Linked DNA regions of Arabidopsis thaliana. The protein of the gene in region 2 interacts with the protein of the main gene of each other region in a pairwise test. Each region holds a gene or a part of one and is shown on either strand. Other genes may lie near its edges.

Region 1 (8,308 bases), on a different chromosome or scaffold from region 2:
TCTGTGACTTCAACGATGGACTCACCGGATGCACAACCTACTGAGTTGAACAAAGTTTGTGAGGGTGGGAAAGGAACTGAAACGGAGGTGGAAGCTGATCGCAGCACAGTAAATCATGTTGATCTTGGGGAGATTTCATCATCCACTTCATCTGCTGTACTTGAAGACATAGGGACGGAAGTCATTGTTGGTCAAATACCAAATCATATTTCTGTCCCTATGGAAAAGAAAGTTGGAGAGGAAATTGTAAATTCTGCTTCAGTAGATGTTGAATGTGCTGATGCTAAAGAGACAGTTGTTGTGAATGGTGTGATTGGCAACGTCCATGAGACAAAGGAATTTAGTAATGGAACTTTGACAGCTGAACAGAAAATGCCAACATCTAGCACTGAGGTAAGCTTCGTCTGGTATATGTGTGCCTTTTAAATTCTATTTGGATACTGGAACTAGATAATCTTCATGGGTTCGATGCAAGAATTATGTTTGTGTTCCACAGGTTGTCCTAAATATTCTCTTAGTTTTCCTATCTGAGTTTAGGATAAGGTTTTTCATCATAGTGGCTGAAGGACGTTAATGATGGAATAGTCAACCTCTTGAATGTTTTAAGATGTTTTGGTAGTCAATTTTGATGTTCCAACTTTGAGAACTAAGGTGAAACTGAATATACGCGGAGCTGTTAGTTGATTGTTCTTAAAAACTGAGTTAAACTACTTGGCACATGAAAAATCTAGAAAAGGATGATAACTTTGTAACCTTTTAACTGTGTAACAGTCGGGAAGTCGTAAGAACGACAGAGCAAAAGTGGACACTGTGAGTAGCTATGCCGGGAATGAAGTCGCAAGTGTAGAGAAGAAGGCAACCATGGAAAAAGGGAAAATTGATGCTCCAGATAGTTCCAGCTCTCAAAAAGAAAACAATGCAACATTAAACAGAATTAAACCGTGAGTGAACACACTCCGAAGTCTCAGTTGTGCTTTAGCGTTGTTGGTATTGTGTTTGGGTCTCCTTTTTCACATAGCTTTCGTTCTTCTTGTTTTCAGTGAATCGTGGAAAGGGGAATCTAATATGGGAAGACAAGAAACAAATCCTCTCTTGGCAGTTCTGAAATCTTTCGTGACAGCCTTTGTGAAGTTTTGGTCAGAGTAATAATTCATTGTAGAGATCCGTTGGTTAAACTTTTGTAGTTTTCATTAGTGAGAGTTGGTAAGCTTAATATGGTTTGAAATGTGCTGTACAATTTTTGTGTTGAATGTTTAGGTTACATATAATGGTTTGAGTCAAATATAGTCCAATCAGGGATGAAACATCAGAATTCTGATTATCTTCTTGAACATTTCAACGGAGATGATGGATTTCAGTTGTATGAATTTATCGATTATTGCTTGGAGAATGAGAGATTACTTCTCATTGGTCAAAAAAATGGTAATTACCTGAACCGAGCATTGGTTTAGTTACACCACACCAACTGAATGATGCAGCAAAACCCGCCACTTCAACGGTAACATGCAGCAAAGAAGCCATCTTTCTGTTACACTGACTCATATTTATTTGATTATTTATTGAGAGACCACAAGGTTTTGATGCTTAGTGAAAATGGAAAAAGAGGCAACAAAGATGGTGAATGGTGGAGTTAAGTCAAAGTCACCTAAGGGCAGTCCTGATTTCCTCGGATATAATTTGAGATATGTCAAGCTTGGATACATTTACCTTCTCTCTCTCTCACGTACCTTTTGTTTCTTCCTTCCTCCTCTTCTTCTTCTCTTCATCTTTGTTTCTCGATTTCTCCCAATCTTGGCTTTCCCTTTGTCTACCTTCTTCATCCTCCTCATCTATCATTATCTTACTCCTTCCTCTGTTTTTCTTCTCGATTTCTCCTGTTACCGCCCACCCGATCATCTCAAGGTCATCATGTCTCTTCCATCCCCACCTCTCTTCTCTCTTTCTCTGTCTTCTCATTGTTGTTTTGTGGATGTAAATTGTACAGATCACAAAAAGCGACTTCATCGAGCTGGCAATGAAGTCTGGTAACTTCAACGAGACTGCCATCGAGCTTCAAAGAAAAGTGCTGGACCAATCAGGGATAGGAGAGGAGAGCTACATGCCGAGAGTGGTCTTCAAGCCTGGTCACAGGGTCAATCTTCGTGATGGTCGTGAAGAAGCAGCAATGGTGATCTTTGGAGCAATTGATGAACTTCTTGCAGCGACCAAAATCAATGTGAAGCATATCAAGATCCTGGTGCTAAACTGCGGAGTCCTCAACACCACGCCATCTCTATCGGCCATGGTGATTAACCATTATAAGCTGAGGCATAACACAGAGAGCTACAATCTTGGTGGTATGGGGTGTAGCGCCGGAGTCATAGCCATTGATTTAGCCAAAGATCTTTTAAACGCTCATCAAGGCTCTTACGCTTTGGTGGTGAGCACTGAGATAGTAAGCTTCACTTGGTACTCAGGTAATGACGTCGCGTTGCTTCCACCAAATTGCTTCTTTCGAATGGGAGCAGCTGCAGTTATGCTATCTAGTCGGCGTATCGACAGATGGCGAGCCAAATACCAACTTATGCAGGTGAGAAGAACAAAGAAACACTCTGATTTACTCTTGCTCTGTTCTTTGTTTTGACTGATGACATTGTAACTGGTGAATAAAACAGCTAGTAAGAACCCATAAAGGCATGGAAGACACAAGTTACAAGAGCATAGAGTTAAGAGAAGACAGAGATGGGAAACAAGGACTATATGTATCTAGAGATGTAATGGAAGTTGGGCGCCATGCACTGAAAGCAAACATTGCAACGCTTGGTCGTCTTGAGCCTTCCTTTGAACATATATGCGTATTAGCATCGAGTAAGAAAGTACTTGATGACATTCATAAGGATCTCAAGTTGACAGAAGAGAATATGGAGGCATCAAGACGGACATTGGAGCGTTTCGGGAACACATCAAGCAGCAGTATATGGTACGAGCTGGCTTACCTAGAACACAAGGCGAAGATGAAAAGAGGAGATAGGGTTTGGCAAATCGGTTTCGGGTCAGGGTTTAAATGCAATAGTGTTGTATGGAAAGCCCTAAAAAACATTGACCCTCCAAGACATAACAACCCATGGAATCTCTGAGGATTCATCAAAGTTAACAATTGTATGATAACATGAATAAAATAACCCACCAATGCAAAATCCACAATTTATTCAAATAGTGTGATTGCATTTGAACATATCCCTGATGCTAGGATCTTACATTAATAAGGTAAACAAACAATAAAGAGACGCAATCTACTCTTGATTTACTCATCTGTTTCAGTAGCTAAAAACTGAGCTTAATTATGCACATAAGGATGAGACGTTGCAACCTTTTTATATATATTATGCAACAGACATGAAGTTGAAGAATGACATACTGTAGGAGCAAAAGTTGCAACCATGGAAAAAGCTAAAAATTGAAGCTTTGTAATGTTCCATTCTCTTACACAAAGATGCTACTATCTGGAGCCACTAGACCCTCAAGTTTCCATCCACCAGGCCCGGACAGCGCAAAAGCCTGTGATGGCCAAAAGAAAGAATTAGCTCCAAATCAAAGAAAAAGCGAGCTCATGCATATCTGAAAAAAGGATTGAATCAACAAACTTCTTCCCAGGAGTTGCCAAAAGCCTGAAGCAAAGCAGCATTGCATGTTTTCAACTTAATAGAAGCTCCAGAGAGCATGGAAGCTGCTTCTTCCCAACCCTTATTATGCCCCATACACCTATATGTATCAATCAAATAAGAAATGATAACACAGCACAAGTAAGATGAAGCAAAAAAGATTGATGAGAAACTAACATGATAGTGGAGATATCAGGGGTTGAATATTTGGAGATAATGTTTTGAAGATGCTCGGCTGTTTGGCCATCCATAGCAGCAATGGAGTAAAAGCTAGGAATGAAATGTACATTTGCCTCCATAAACCCATCTACTTGAGCCTGCATCGACTTCAGTGTCTCTCTAGTCCGAGTGGCGTCGCTGTGAAGTGAATGATTTCAACAATTCTCAATCACGAAATGAAAAACAAAACTGATAATTTGAAGAAGGAACTTACCTTGAGAGAATAAGTTGGGGAAGCCAACCGAGTGAGGAGAGGATTTGAGCTACTTTGGCAGCATCTGCTTCTCCGGTTTTACTTAGAGGACGATCATGGTCTATCGTTAAGACACAGACAGAGAGAAAGAGAGACATTAAAGATTTGATTTTTCGATTTTGAGCGAGAAAGAGGAGAATCAGAGTACCTCTGAGGGAAAGATCATCCCAGGAACTGTGAGCGTGACGGAGAAGGATAAGACGGCGAGAGATTGAGGTCGACGGAGAAGCAGCGAAGTCACTGACCGCACGAAGTGGAGCCGTGGAGCAAGAATTGGTGCTCCGATTTGGGACGGAGATGAAGAAAGGAGGAAGACACTGCAAGCTAAGCATCTCTGGCTTGATTTTTAGTTAAAGAAAGGTAATTTCTTTATTTCTAATCCTTCGCCGTGAAATTTAAAGATAAGATCGGTACTCAGTTGTTCCAAGGTAGAAGTAAGGACCCAGAGAGAAAAAGTTTTGAACTTGAGACCTCTGAGGAACCGTTGGTCGAGATTTTGATCAGTTTGCCAACGAAAGTCCAATGAGAATCAAGTGCTTCTCGAAGCTCTGGTTCTTCCTCATCGAACAAGGACCGTTGCAAATTTGCAATCAACTTACAACATAACAAGCAACAGAAGAGCTACAGAAGTAGACACTAAATTAAGAAATTTTGAGTGACCAAAGCTCACAAGTCACACAAGTAGCAATTTTACATTGTATGATACATTTATGGAAAGGAAACTTGGTGGAGATAAATTTAGCTTGGGGATCTTCATTATCATCCCTACCTCTGAATTGGATGTAGCATGACTTGTTCATGTCATTGGAGTTCTCTGTTTACACTGCCTAGAAACAAGATTACCACAACTATAAGCTTTTGAAAAGATATGGTTTCATTTTCAACTTAGAATGAATACAAGATGATACACTAAGCTCTAATGATTTGCATTACAAAAACTCTTCAAAGCGATTCTTTTCACATTCTTTATGATCCAATAGGCTAAGCCTTATTCACCCGAATCTTCTGTCCTTCCAGCAACTGCATTTTAAAACCAACAACAAAATGAGACAAAAAGATTATGCACACTCTATAGTCGAAGAAGATGGAACAGTTGAGAGATACTTACCGAATTGTTAAGAGCAACAATGGCTGCTTCCACATCTTCTTCAGAAGAAAACGTAACGAATCCAAACCCGGTGGATTTGGAAGTTCCAGGTACTCTTGAAACCTTAGCACTTACTACTTTCCCTTTCTCAGAAAACAAATTCTCAAGCATCTCTTTTGTAACAGTCTTTGCTAGATTCCCAACATACACTTTGTAAGGGCTATCTACAAATGCTGAATCCTCAGACTGAAGAACTGATAAATCAGGTGATGATGCTATAGGTTTCTCTGTAATGTTAACCTTTATCTCACGCCCTTCAACGGTCTGAGAAACCAAAAACAAGCTCTGTCATATTCAGAACTAAAATGTATAGAACGAAGCAGTTAAGGGTTCAAAAACTTACATTGCCATTCAATTTCTCAACCACAGCATTAGCATCTTCAACTGATTTCATTGTAGCAAACCCAAATCGACGGCTTCTTCCTGAATACTTATCATACATCACCTGATGATATCAACACAACATCAAATAACAAATCTTGATGATAACTAACTAAGAAATAATAGAAGAAGGAGATGTTATGAATAAAAACCTGAACTTTTTCAACAGCACCGTGTTCTTCAACAAGTTTAGTGAGCTGCTCATTGGTCACCGTCCTGGGTATGTTACCGATATACACACGCCTGGCAGCTTCTGAACTAGGGTCCAAAGCGGCGGGTTTTTCTTCCGTCTCCGTTACAGCATAAGGAATGAATCTCGTTCTAGAGCTCCGGGAGAAAGTTCCAGCGAGAGAAGGAAAGGGTTTCGAGGAGAATACATTGACCCGTGTATGCAAAGGAGTGAAGGATTCGGACTGGAATGAGAAGATTGTAGGTTTGATTGAAACAACATTTGTTAGGAAAGTCGCCATTGTAGCAGGAGAGTGTAGGTGTCGATAAGGAAGAAGTTGCGAGTGTCGTCAACATTATCCATTAGCCGTCCTCACTTCTAACCTGTGTGGATAATTGGGCCTTATTAAGGCCTATAATTTGGGCCTAGAAACATTACCCATTTACCCGTCTCTCACGCCGCAGACTTAAACTTAAATGGGTTGATATACACTTAGGTACTTGTTCGGGTTACGCCTGACCACTGTTTTGGCCAGTGACAACATCACTACAGGCCACTGTTCATCTTCATCATTGATGGAAGATGAACATAAATGAAGTATGTGATGATCATTAATGGTTGATCGAAATTGATGTATCCACTCCATGATTCTTCGTTGTTAGTCGAGTTCAATCTAGTGTCCCTCTAAAGTCTAGACTCTAGAGACACAAGAAGCCAAGTAAAAGATTTTTGTATAGAGCACAAAAAAATAGTAAGGCTGCAAGGTTAGGTATAAGCGTGAACTGTGAGCTTATTGGAGTTACTAGAAAATCAATGACGTTTTTGTGGTATAAAATTACACCCGCAGAAAAGTGAGGGGAAAAGAAAAAAGAAAAAAGCCAGACATGCCTGGAAGCGGGACTTACCCAAATCGTTGTGACATAATGGGAAGAAAAACAAAGCTTAACGTACAAAAGCGTTGTTGTCATGTAATGAAATCAGCAAGTGGTTTATCGACTTCCAGAGACAAAAACCAACTTCACTACTTAGAATCGTGCACTTTCTTTGAGCACCATTTTCCTTCAAGATCCTACTGTTTCTTATTTTTTGGCTTTTTGCTTCTTCTTATCCAAAGATGTTAAACCAGCACCTAATCCTGCAGGAGCCAGGTTTTCTGTTTTCCCATTTTCAGAGGATTCTTTCTTCTCTTGTACCTTTGCCTCCCCGTTTTCTCCACCTTTCTCAGACGAAACTGTGGCGGTATTGATCATGTTTTGGAGCTGAGAGAGCGGTGGCATGGCTTGAACTGGAACACCACCCTGGGGGCGAACCAGTAGCCCCTTTGCAGCTGCTTTCTTCCTAACTTCAGCTGCAGCACGAGCTGCTCTTTCATCAAAACCTCTGCCCCGTGGTTGAGTCTCCCCAAGGACAGCAGAGTTCAGTGCATTTGTCCTCCCAGTAGCAGCTGCGTTTTGGAACGCATGTATCAGGTCTGGATGTGCCTATTGTATACCAATCAGGAAAACGATTTCATTATTATTTCAACTCTACAACATCAAAGATAGAGGAGTTATTCCTTTTCAGCAAAATATGCCGAAATCTAAAGCTGCAAGTATACCTTTAGGAGATCGATAGCCTTTTGCGTGTTGGCTGCATTAGCTGCCTGTCCTTTCTGCTTTTGTGCAGTCATCTGATTCAAAACCCAACCAGAAAATTTGAGAAATCCAAACAAAATGTATACTAGATAAATGAGGTTCTCCTCAGTCATTATCAGTGCACCAAACCTGAAGCTCACGCATCTTAAACGTCTTCATCCAATTTAGAGAGTCTCGTGTCCTAGAATCATCGTCTCCCAATTGTTTAACAAGTATGTCGTATGTTTTCTTCTCATGCTGACAAGAACAGAACAATTAAGTCGAAAGGTGAGACATATAGTTCTCATGTTGACAAGAACAGAGTCGAAAGGTGGGATCTAGAAGACTTTACGAAAGTTTTAGTACCTGGTGTGAGAGCTTGAATGCACCCATACAGTTGAACGCAATGGCAAGAGCGTGGTAGCATACTGCAGTCTGAATGTGTTCAGGACCAAGAAGTCTCTCATTTTTCTTCAAAGCCTCTTGAAGATAACGTAGAGCTGTGTCCATTTTGCCCATGTCTTGATACATCATGGCAACATTTATAAATGTAGCTGCAACATCTGGATGGTCAGGGCCAGATGAAAGGCCAAGTAGAAGCAAGGCTCGACCCATGTTTTGTAGAGCAAGTTCTGTCTGATTCAGTCCATGGTAGAAAAGAGCCATATTGCCATAGCTGCAGTATCAAAACATTTGAAGCAAGTCAATAGCTGAGAGTACAATATCACAGTACATTAATATAAAAGAAAGATAGTTGATACCTATGGGCAGTATCAGGATGGTCCAAACCAAGGCATCGCTCATTAATAATGAGTTCCTTGTGTTGCTGCATTATGGCCCCAGCCATATCTCCTGCATGGTACAAAACCATAGCCAGGTACCTGA
Region 2 (8,076 bases):
TTCTATAATACTGTTTCATTTCCCATTGTTAATAATTTATAGTTCATTTAGTGTGGCATAACTTTTTTTTCTGTGCTTAACTAGTATGTTATGAAGTACTCTTTGCTTTGTATGACAGGAAGCTCTGGAGGAAGGTGGAGAGCTCTATGGGAAGCAAGTCTATGTTTTTGGCTGCACTGAGTGTAAGTTATACCTAGATAGCACTATTTGTTTCTTGGTATTAGATTAAGGTGACATTTATCTTGTCGACTGATTTGCTTGCAAAGTCATCTGGTACTGCAATGTGCATCTCTCTCTTCCCCTTTTGATATCATCTATCTTATCATTGCAGCTCATTCAGTCACTTACAAAGATGAAAACAAGGATGTCCTTGTTCCTGTTGTCGTTTGTGTAAGCTTTGGTTTCGTTTTTTATATCATGTCACTGGTGTTTGAAAAATAAGCTCGGCATTGTGATTGGAAAACAAGATCATATTGTTTATCTATAACTGACGGTTAATTTTGGTTCTTATCTATTTACAGATTGATTCACCTATTCCCCCTTCTGATGAGATAGGAGTTGCATCGGTTCAAGGAGAGGTTGGGGAAATTATTGCAATGAAAACTATGAAAATGGCTTGGGTTCCTTACATCCCACTTGAACAAAGGTATATAGACATCCCTGAGTTGTACACATATTTTCGTGAGAGGGTCTTAAGCAATGAAACAGATAGTATATTTGTGTATTACTCTTCTTACTTTTGATGTTTATGGGAGTTGTTGCTAATTTCATCTGCTTTTGTTCTTCTGCAGGGATAGACAAGTTGATAATAAGAACTTTCCAATTTTCATCTTGGGCTGTACTCAGAGAAGGTAAATACTCTGTGGTATCTTTTCCTCCCAATGTCTTGTTACCATGCAAGTTAGGAAGTTATAGAAGACGTGATTTGTTCATTCGCTTTGTAGAGGAAAAAGAATTACATTACATATGGTTTTGAAGCAGATAGCTTTATCTGAAAACGTGATGCAACACTTTGCATTCTTCGATCATTCCCATTCACATTCAGTAACTTAACGAGTGCAGAATTTGGTGTATTCAGCCTAGCTTTGTATATTTTCTTTGCAGGTCTGCTCTCAAACATTTGCCTGACGATCGTGTTAAAAAGTTCAACTATTGCCTTCCTTGTGAGCTCTAATTTTGATGCTTAGCTGGTTGTTATTGATGTTATATTCTCAGTACCATGTTTTCATTTGCTTGAGATTTGTTTTCCCTAGACATCATACTGTAAATATTACTGTTTTACTATGATTTGCAGACATCAACAACCCATATAAGGTTGATGACTCTGAGAAGAGCACTGTGGTTAAAATAATGTTCCCTTCTGAGCCACCAGTAAGTTATTTTTGTCTTTCTTAACTGATCGACAATACAATTTGGTAGTTTCATTTTTAATCAAACTTACTTTTCCTTTGTGCAGGTTGAATGTGAATATGACTGGGTGAAAAGCGTCATTGAGGTGCAGTATCTGACTTTTCCAATAAAACACCTTACTTGAATTACTTCTCATCTCAGTTTATTTTAGGAATTCACCGACAGTCTGATCAATGAGGAGGTATTACTCCCGGAACAAAAGGTTGCGTTCGAGGTAAGCAAGCAAGAGCTGGAATTGATTTGATGAATTCATTTGAGGGAGGTCTCTAAAATCACTCACCCATATGTTTCCTTTTTTCAGGAGTTTGTCAAAGAGAAAAGTGACAAAGCTATGGCAGCTTATGACACGGTATCATGTTTCATACCCTCTGCTACAGAGCCGCACATATACTTAACAATGGATTCTACAATTGGCAGGCACAAGAAGCCCTAGAGAAAGCAAAGGAAGGACTGAGCGAAGAAACAAAAAAAGCCTATCAAGAAATGAGGTTGTACAAGTTTTATCCATTGCCTTCACCAGACACACCCCACACTGCAGGAATTGAGAAGGTACAAAACAAATCCAACTTAGTTTGTCAATGGAACTCTGAATATTATTGCCAAAATCTGATATAAGTTTGTTGGTCTCTGTGCAGTCCCCGTTCATAAACAGGTACTTCGGGAAGGCTCACGAAGTCCTGTAACCGTTTCTCCTAAACCCAGGAACCTTTTTGTTTCGGCAAACTTTATGAACAACTGAGAATCAAAGAAACCACTATGGGATTGTTTAGGCCAAAGATACAACACACTTACAAATAACAATTGTCTTTTTGGAGCCGGATTTTTTTTTTTTGTTCTCTGTTTTCTCGCTTCTTTGATGCAACATGCAACCAACCAAATAGTGTTGAGAGACTAAGCAAAGATTAATCTAAAGAGAAAGAGTAACAACAAAAGTAACAACAAATGGGGGCATTTCCTCCACTTCAGTAACGAGAAGTTGAAGAAGAAGAAGAAGCAGCAGCAGAATCTGACACGGTAGAAGTTCTTTTTTTCCTCTCTTCCTCATATTCAGCATCATCAGTCTCAAGCTGGAATCTACAGACAGGACAAGAGTTCCTTGTTCCTAACCATGGCACAATACAATCTCCGTGGTAACAATGTCCACACGGTAACTTCTTACCAGTTTCTCCCATCACCATTCCATCTTTACACACAGCACAAACCATAACCATCTCTCCCTCCGAAGAACTAACCTCGAAAGTCTCCAATGCCTCTATTGCCGATTTCGCAGCCGGTGGTGCGCCTCTCCTTCCTCCGCCACCACCACCATCTCCTTCTGCTAAATTCTGTAGCAAAGCTTCGTATCCGGCTGCATCGTCTATGTAATCAGCCGGATTTCCTGCGTATCGATCTGATTCCATACGGAACTCAATCGAATTGTCTTCGATTCCCATCAAAATCTCAGCCCAATCGAGAATTCTGTTTCTTCCGGTTCTCGACTGCGTCGTCGTGAGAGGAAAACGATTTCTCCTCCTCAGATCATCTTCTTCGTCTTCTTCGTCGTTGACGGTTAAATTCTCTTCCTCATCCTCTTCTTCTTCATCTCCATCATCTTCATCTTCGTCTTCGTCATCGTCGATTTCGTTTCTACTATTGAGCTCCAACCTGAAGAAATCATCTTCGTAAGATAAAACATCAAGGTGTCGTGGTGGTGAACGCTGAGAAGGCGCGTGGGCTAACAAGCGGAGCATCTGGAGGAAATGCGAGCCAATACTGGAGTCTTCTACATTCAGATCTGGGGAAAGTGGCTGCGGTGGCGCCGGCGATGAATAAGCGGCGGGAGTCGGTTGAATTGACTCGACGAAACCTTTGTTACATTCGCAGCACACGACAAAGTCATCTAAGGTTTCAACGACGACGCGTTTGTTGCAGTGATAGCACCAGTGCGACGCCGTGGCATCCGGGGAAGACGACGGAGCATCGGACATCGTGCAATTAATCGTCGGGTTTTCAGGCTTTCGGGTCCGGATTCGGATCCGATAAGCCGATTAAGAGGATGGAGAAAATAAAAGAAAAAGGTCTCTCTGTATTATTATTATCGAATTTTTAAGACATTAGAGAATCCTGCTCATTTACCCACTTGACCCACCCACAATATCATAATATTTTCTTCTATATATGATATCACCATCATCATAAATTCATAATACTTACAATTTAATCAAACTGTTCAATTGCTGTCAAACATAAAAATCAAATTGTTCAATCCAATTTAAACCAGCTTCCAAATCAAAACTGACTTGCACTTTTATCCAAAAACTTGATAAGATAAAGTACCATTTGACCCATGAAATTTTGTCATATCGAAAAGCATAATTTTAATTTCTTTTGACAACAATACAAACATATAACTCGAATACATAACTTTGTAATAGCGATACAATTGTTTCAACAGCACCCATAAAATAAAATAAGATTAAAAAACCCAAATCGTTACAATAAATTACAATACAAAGATGGCCTCCTCGTCTCAAGCATAGTCAGACCCACCATGAAGGTGATACATAGCGAAGTCTCTCCATTCACCAAATGTTGCAAATGGCAAAAGACCGTTTATGACTGGAAGAACAAACAGAATCACCACATACACGACACTGCGCCTTGCCCAATATGGAAACATACTGTTACAACGGTTCGATCTGGTCTCTTGAGTCACGTTTATAGGACCGAACATTAGACCATACAAAGCCAATGTGAAGACATTTGCAACGAATTGCAAAAGGCAAAACACTTCCCAAACTATTAGCCAGAGTTTGCCATCACCGCCCAATGTGTCCACACACAATTTACCCGATACACCGCAAAATATACCGAGGAAAAGAACGATGAAACTTATCGGCATTGTCTGCTTCGTACCTGATGATCGTTTGTTTAGAAAGTAAGTGAAGACAATGATCATTAACACACCGAAAAATATCTGCACCCAAACTCGAACCCGGCAGATGAAGGTGTTGAAGCCTGAGTTAATCGATGAAACTTGTTTAGGAACCCACCACGACGAACTTTTCTCCTCGGATTGGTCGCATACTGAGGTAGCATCCTCGATTCTCTTTATTGAAAAATTGTAAACGCCAAGTACCATAGAAGCCAACATGCTGAAGACACTTACGAGGAGCCAATCCATGATTCTTGTGACCATCTCTTCTTTTCTTGTATCTTCTAATTCGGTTTTGAATTTCTCCGCTCTGAATGCAGCTTTCGAAACATCCAACTCTAGCGCCGCTTTCCCCAGGTTGTTTGATTCAAATTTTAATCCTAGCGCCGTCTCTTTGCACCTTAACTCTCTTATTTGAAGACCAATCTCCACGGTCTTTAGGTCGTTTGCTCGTGTTTGCTCTTTTAAAAACCTTTCGTCTGTGGTCAAAGCCATTGCTGAACTTCTAGGAGGGACACAAGAGAGTTGTAGAGTCTCTTCGAAAAGGGCAAGCTCATTCATCAAAGAGGTTGCTGTTGCACTGCCTTGCATCACTTCATAAGCAGACGTAGCAGATGAAGTCTCCCTCTCAAATAGCTCGGTGTCTGAGCATCCGTCTATGGTAGAGCGATCTAAATTACAACTCCCACCATCATTATTGTTTGACTGATGTGGATTTGCACATTCATTGGTCAATTTAAGGATCTTTAGAGTACTGCTGAATGTTTGCTCAAAGTTGGTCGCAAAGGAACCAAGCTTATTACCATAAACCTGTAACCACAACATTATGAATCAGAAAGTCTATAAATATAAAAATGCGGAAAACATAGAGGGGGATTTTAGCTTACATTGGCTAATGATTCTTCGACAAGAGTAGCAAAGATCTGGAGAGCATAATCAATGAAGTTCTTGTATCACTACCAAAACGATGGCAAAAGAAAGATTGAACAGAAACTGAGAAGAAATCATTTGAAGTTCATACTACTTACCTCAACAAGATCATCAACATAAACATTCTGACCTGCGGCATTCTTTCTCGCAATAACCTAGAGAACAATAAAACAGAGTAGAAACAGAGTAAGAACTACAGAGCATATGCAAGTCAATGACTTTGGCGGCTAGGTAGGATGAAATTTGGTGAAATCACAATCAGAACTACAAATCCGAGTAGAAACTAGAAAGGCTCAAGCTTTAAGGCAAGTGAGAGAGAAGACAATATAAATTTGCAATGTTACATTGAAGCTCGATCATAGAGACCCCCAAGAAGAACTTCAGCTTCTATTGATTGACTCTGATTATAATTTGAGGAGAAGATCCTCTCTTCGATTCAGGGTGAAGAATTCACGCAAGTACTGAGAGAAGAAAATTCAGATTCAATCCTTTTGACTCTGATTCAGATCCTCTCCTCTGTCCAGTTTTGAATCAACAAAGCCTAAATTGAAAGACTTTGTATTTAATACTATCTAAAGATCAAAACTTTCAACACAACCAAAACCTAGTATTCACGCAAGGTCAACTATAGGAACAACCCGTACCAGCAAAGCCAATTTCGTATCAAAACAGTTATGTGATGCAATAAAGATCAAAGTTTGGAAATTGATCGAACCATATTAGCAAAAGCGGCAAGTGAAAAGCCCAGAGGCTTCGCCAATTTTTCAGCTTGTCGTTCACCAACGCTTCGTCGAGCCATACCTAACCGCATAGGGTTTCGTAATCTATGAACCACTCTCGTAACCCTTTTAGTAGAATTTGAATTAGAGGTAGAAGATGTAGAACAATAGGACGAAGAAGCTTCGTCGTTGTCCATAATCTCTTTCTTCTTTCCCTTGAGTTTTCTCTTTTCCAAATTCGATGGATTCGTATCCTTCTTCTTCTTCATCATCATCGTCTCATCTTTATGTACGTCACCAGATTGATGATTTGGCTTTGAATTCGCCGGATTGGTGATTTGATTTTGGGGTTCCGGCGAAGGAGGGAGGAGGAGGGCTTCCATAGCCTTAAAATATAACTTATGGGGTAAATTTGCAACTTTGAGAAAAGTATTTAAGTTGTAAGACTTTGGTCGCTTCGTGACTAGTGAAAAGTTTCGAATTTCCAACTTTTTCCTCTGATTTAATTTGTATTTTTAAAAATTCGTCATAATTAGCTTAATATAGGAAAAATACTTGACCAAATATCTGAATTAACTTGTAAGTTCAACGAATTCTTCAAATTATACAATGTATATGTTAATGTCAATTAAATAGGTAATAATATGTTTACTCGATTTTTAGCGATAATTTGATGTTTCTAGGTGCTTTCTGTTCAATGAATAGGATCGGTTCAGTACTTAATTGAACTAAAAGTCATACATATAGCTTAGGACCAGATTAACATACCAAGTAGTCGAGTTTAGGACCGAACCAATCAGTTTGGTTTGAAGATGGACCATAAAAGTGTTTGGAAAAAGGAACAATAAAAAAAATCGCACAATGTTTGTGGCTCCGATAAATAACACGATGAGGTGTCTTAACACAACCAATCAAAACACAAGAACATCTCCTTCACTAATCTCATCTTATGCCACGTGTCCTTTTCATATCCACCCCTTTTATTTTATCATAATTTTTTTTTTTAACATTCTCTGTGGTTCGTCATGAACCTCAAAAAACCTCTCACTGCAAAGTGCCAACAAACAACAAGTCTTCACCTTCTTCTTCTTCTTCTTCTTCAAAATCTCTTGTACGCAAATAATCCATGAGAAACTAGGGTTTAACTTGAGATCTCTCTTCCGAAGTATTACCATCAATGGCGACTTCTTCTTCTTCATCGTCGTCTCTGCTTTTACCAAACATCAATTTCAACTCAAGACAATCTCCAACAATCACTCGTTCCGTTTCAATCGCCGGGATCTTCTTACCCAGAAACCGATTAAGCTACAATCACAATCTCCGGATTCGTACGAGATTAATCAGAGCTTCTAAAGACGATAATGTCGCTGTTGAAGATCGTGATAATGCAGTGAAGATCAACGGTGATTACAACGGAAGTGCACGTTTAAACGGTAACGGCTCTGCGAGAAAATCCGTCAACGGAGATTTTAACGGAAGTGCTCGTTTGAACGGTAACGGTAGTTTGGTGAAGTATGTGAACGGAAGTGTAACGGTGGAAACGGAGGAAGTGACAAAGAAGAGAAAAGAAGAAGTGAGGAAGAAGAGAGTAGAAGATATTGGTCAAGAGGATGCTTGGTTTAAGAACAACACTCAACAAAAACAAGTTGAGGTATAAAGTAATGTACTTTTAATCAATATCGTTTTGTTTAATGATTCAATTCCTTGAAAGTTTGCTACTTTAATATTGTTTTACAGGTTTCTGTTACACCTGGTGGTCGATGGAATAGATTCAAGACTTACTCAACTATTCAAAGAACATTGGAGATTTGGGGTTTTGTTGTACAGTTTATTTTCAGGACTTGGTTAAGCAATAAGAAGTTCTCTTATAAAGGTTGATACTTGTTTTTGTTTGCTTACGTCTAGGATTAGGACGATTCTCATTTTGTCTAAATTCTTGAAAAATCATGTGTATAAGGGGGAATGACTGAAGAGAAGAAGGTTTTAAGAAGGAAGGTTTTGGCTAAGTGGTTGAAAGAAAACATTTTGAGATTAGGTCCTACATTTATCAAAATTGGGCAACAGTTCTCTACTAGAGTGGATATTCTTCCTCAAGAGTATGTT

Evidence for each region.
Region 1: the proteins of CIP8 (region 2) and AT3G52155 interact in a two-hybrid assay, tested with the Arabidopsis thaliana proteins (one large-scale study listed by BioGRID).

What each region holds. Positions count from the first base shown.
Region 1 is NC_003074.8:19,339,877-19,348,184, reverse strand, and holds AT3G52155 (Phosphoglycerate mutase family protein), read right to left. Parts: upstream 4,491-8,308; 5' UTR 4,446-4,490; coding exon 4,262-4,445; intron 4,229-4,261; exon of another isoform or gene 4,212-4,228; coding exon of another isoform or gene 4,175-4,211; coding exon 4,075-4,174; intron 3,999-4,074; coding exon 3,819-3,998; intron 3,742-3,818; coding exon 3,624-3,741; coding exon of another isoform or gene 3,615-3,623; exon of another isoform or gene 3,538-3,614; coding exon 3,467-3,537; coding exon of another isoform or gene 3,463-3,466; exon of another isoform or gene 3,117-3,462; coding exon of another isoform or gene 2,976-3,116; coding exon 2,972-2,975; downstream 1-2,971. Other genes in the region: AT3G52170 (DNA binding protein), read left to right, coding at 1-393, 772-941, 1,041-1,146; KCS15 (3-ketoacyl-CoA synthase 15), read left to right, coding at 1,594-1,902, 1,985-2,569, 2,655-3,116; PSRP2 (RNA-binding (RRM/RBD/RNP motifs) family protein), read right to left, coding at 5,095-5,133, 5,222-5,524, 5,604-5,705, 5,794-6,111; NOXY38 (tetratricopeptide repeat (TPR)-containing protein), read right to left, coding at 6,890-7,291, 7,408-7,479, 7,574-7,681, 7,790-8,099, 8,185-8,304.
Region 2 is NC_003076.8:25,941,966-25,950,041, forward strand, and holds CIP8 (COP1-interacting protein 8), read right to left. Parts: upstream 3,478-8,076; 5' UTR 3,378-3,477; coding exon 2,373-3,377; 3' UTR 2,150-2,372; coding exon of another isoform or gene 2,046-2,149; 3' UTR 2,026-2,045; downstream 1-2,025. Other genes in the region: AT5G64910 (Serine/Threonine-kinase), read left to right, coding at 119-182, 341-390, 522-646, 792-851, 1,105-1,163, 1,295-1,371, 1,457-1,495, 1,562-1,624 and 3 more; CPR5 protein, read right to left, coding at 3,920-5,134, 5,212-5,247, 5,353-5,409, 5,970-6,356; ATH13 (ABC2 homolog 13), read left to right, coding at 7,151-7,624, 7,711-7,846, 7,931-8,076. UniProt on the Arabidopsis thaliana protein: E3 ubiquitin-protein ligase that mediates ubiquitination and subsequent proteasomal degradation of target proteins. Probably forms a minimal ubiquitin ligase complex in cooperation with the E2 enzyme UBC8.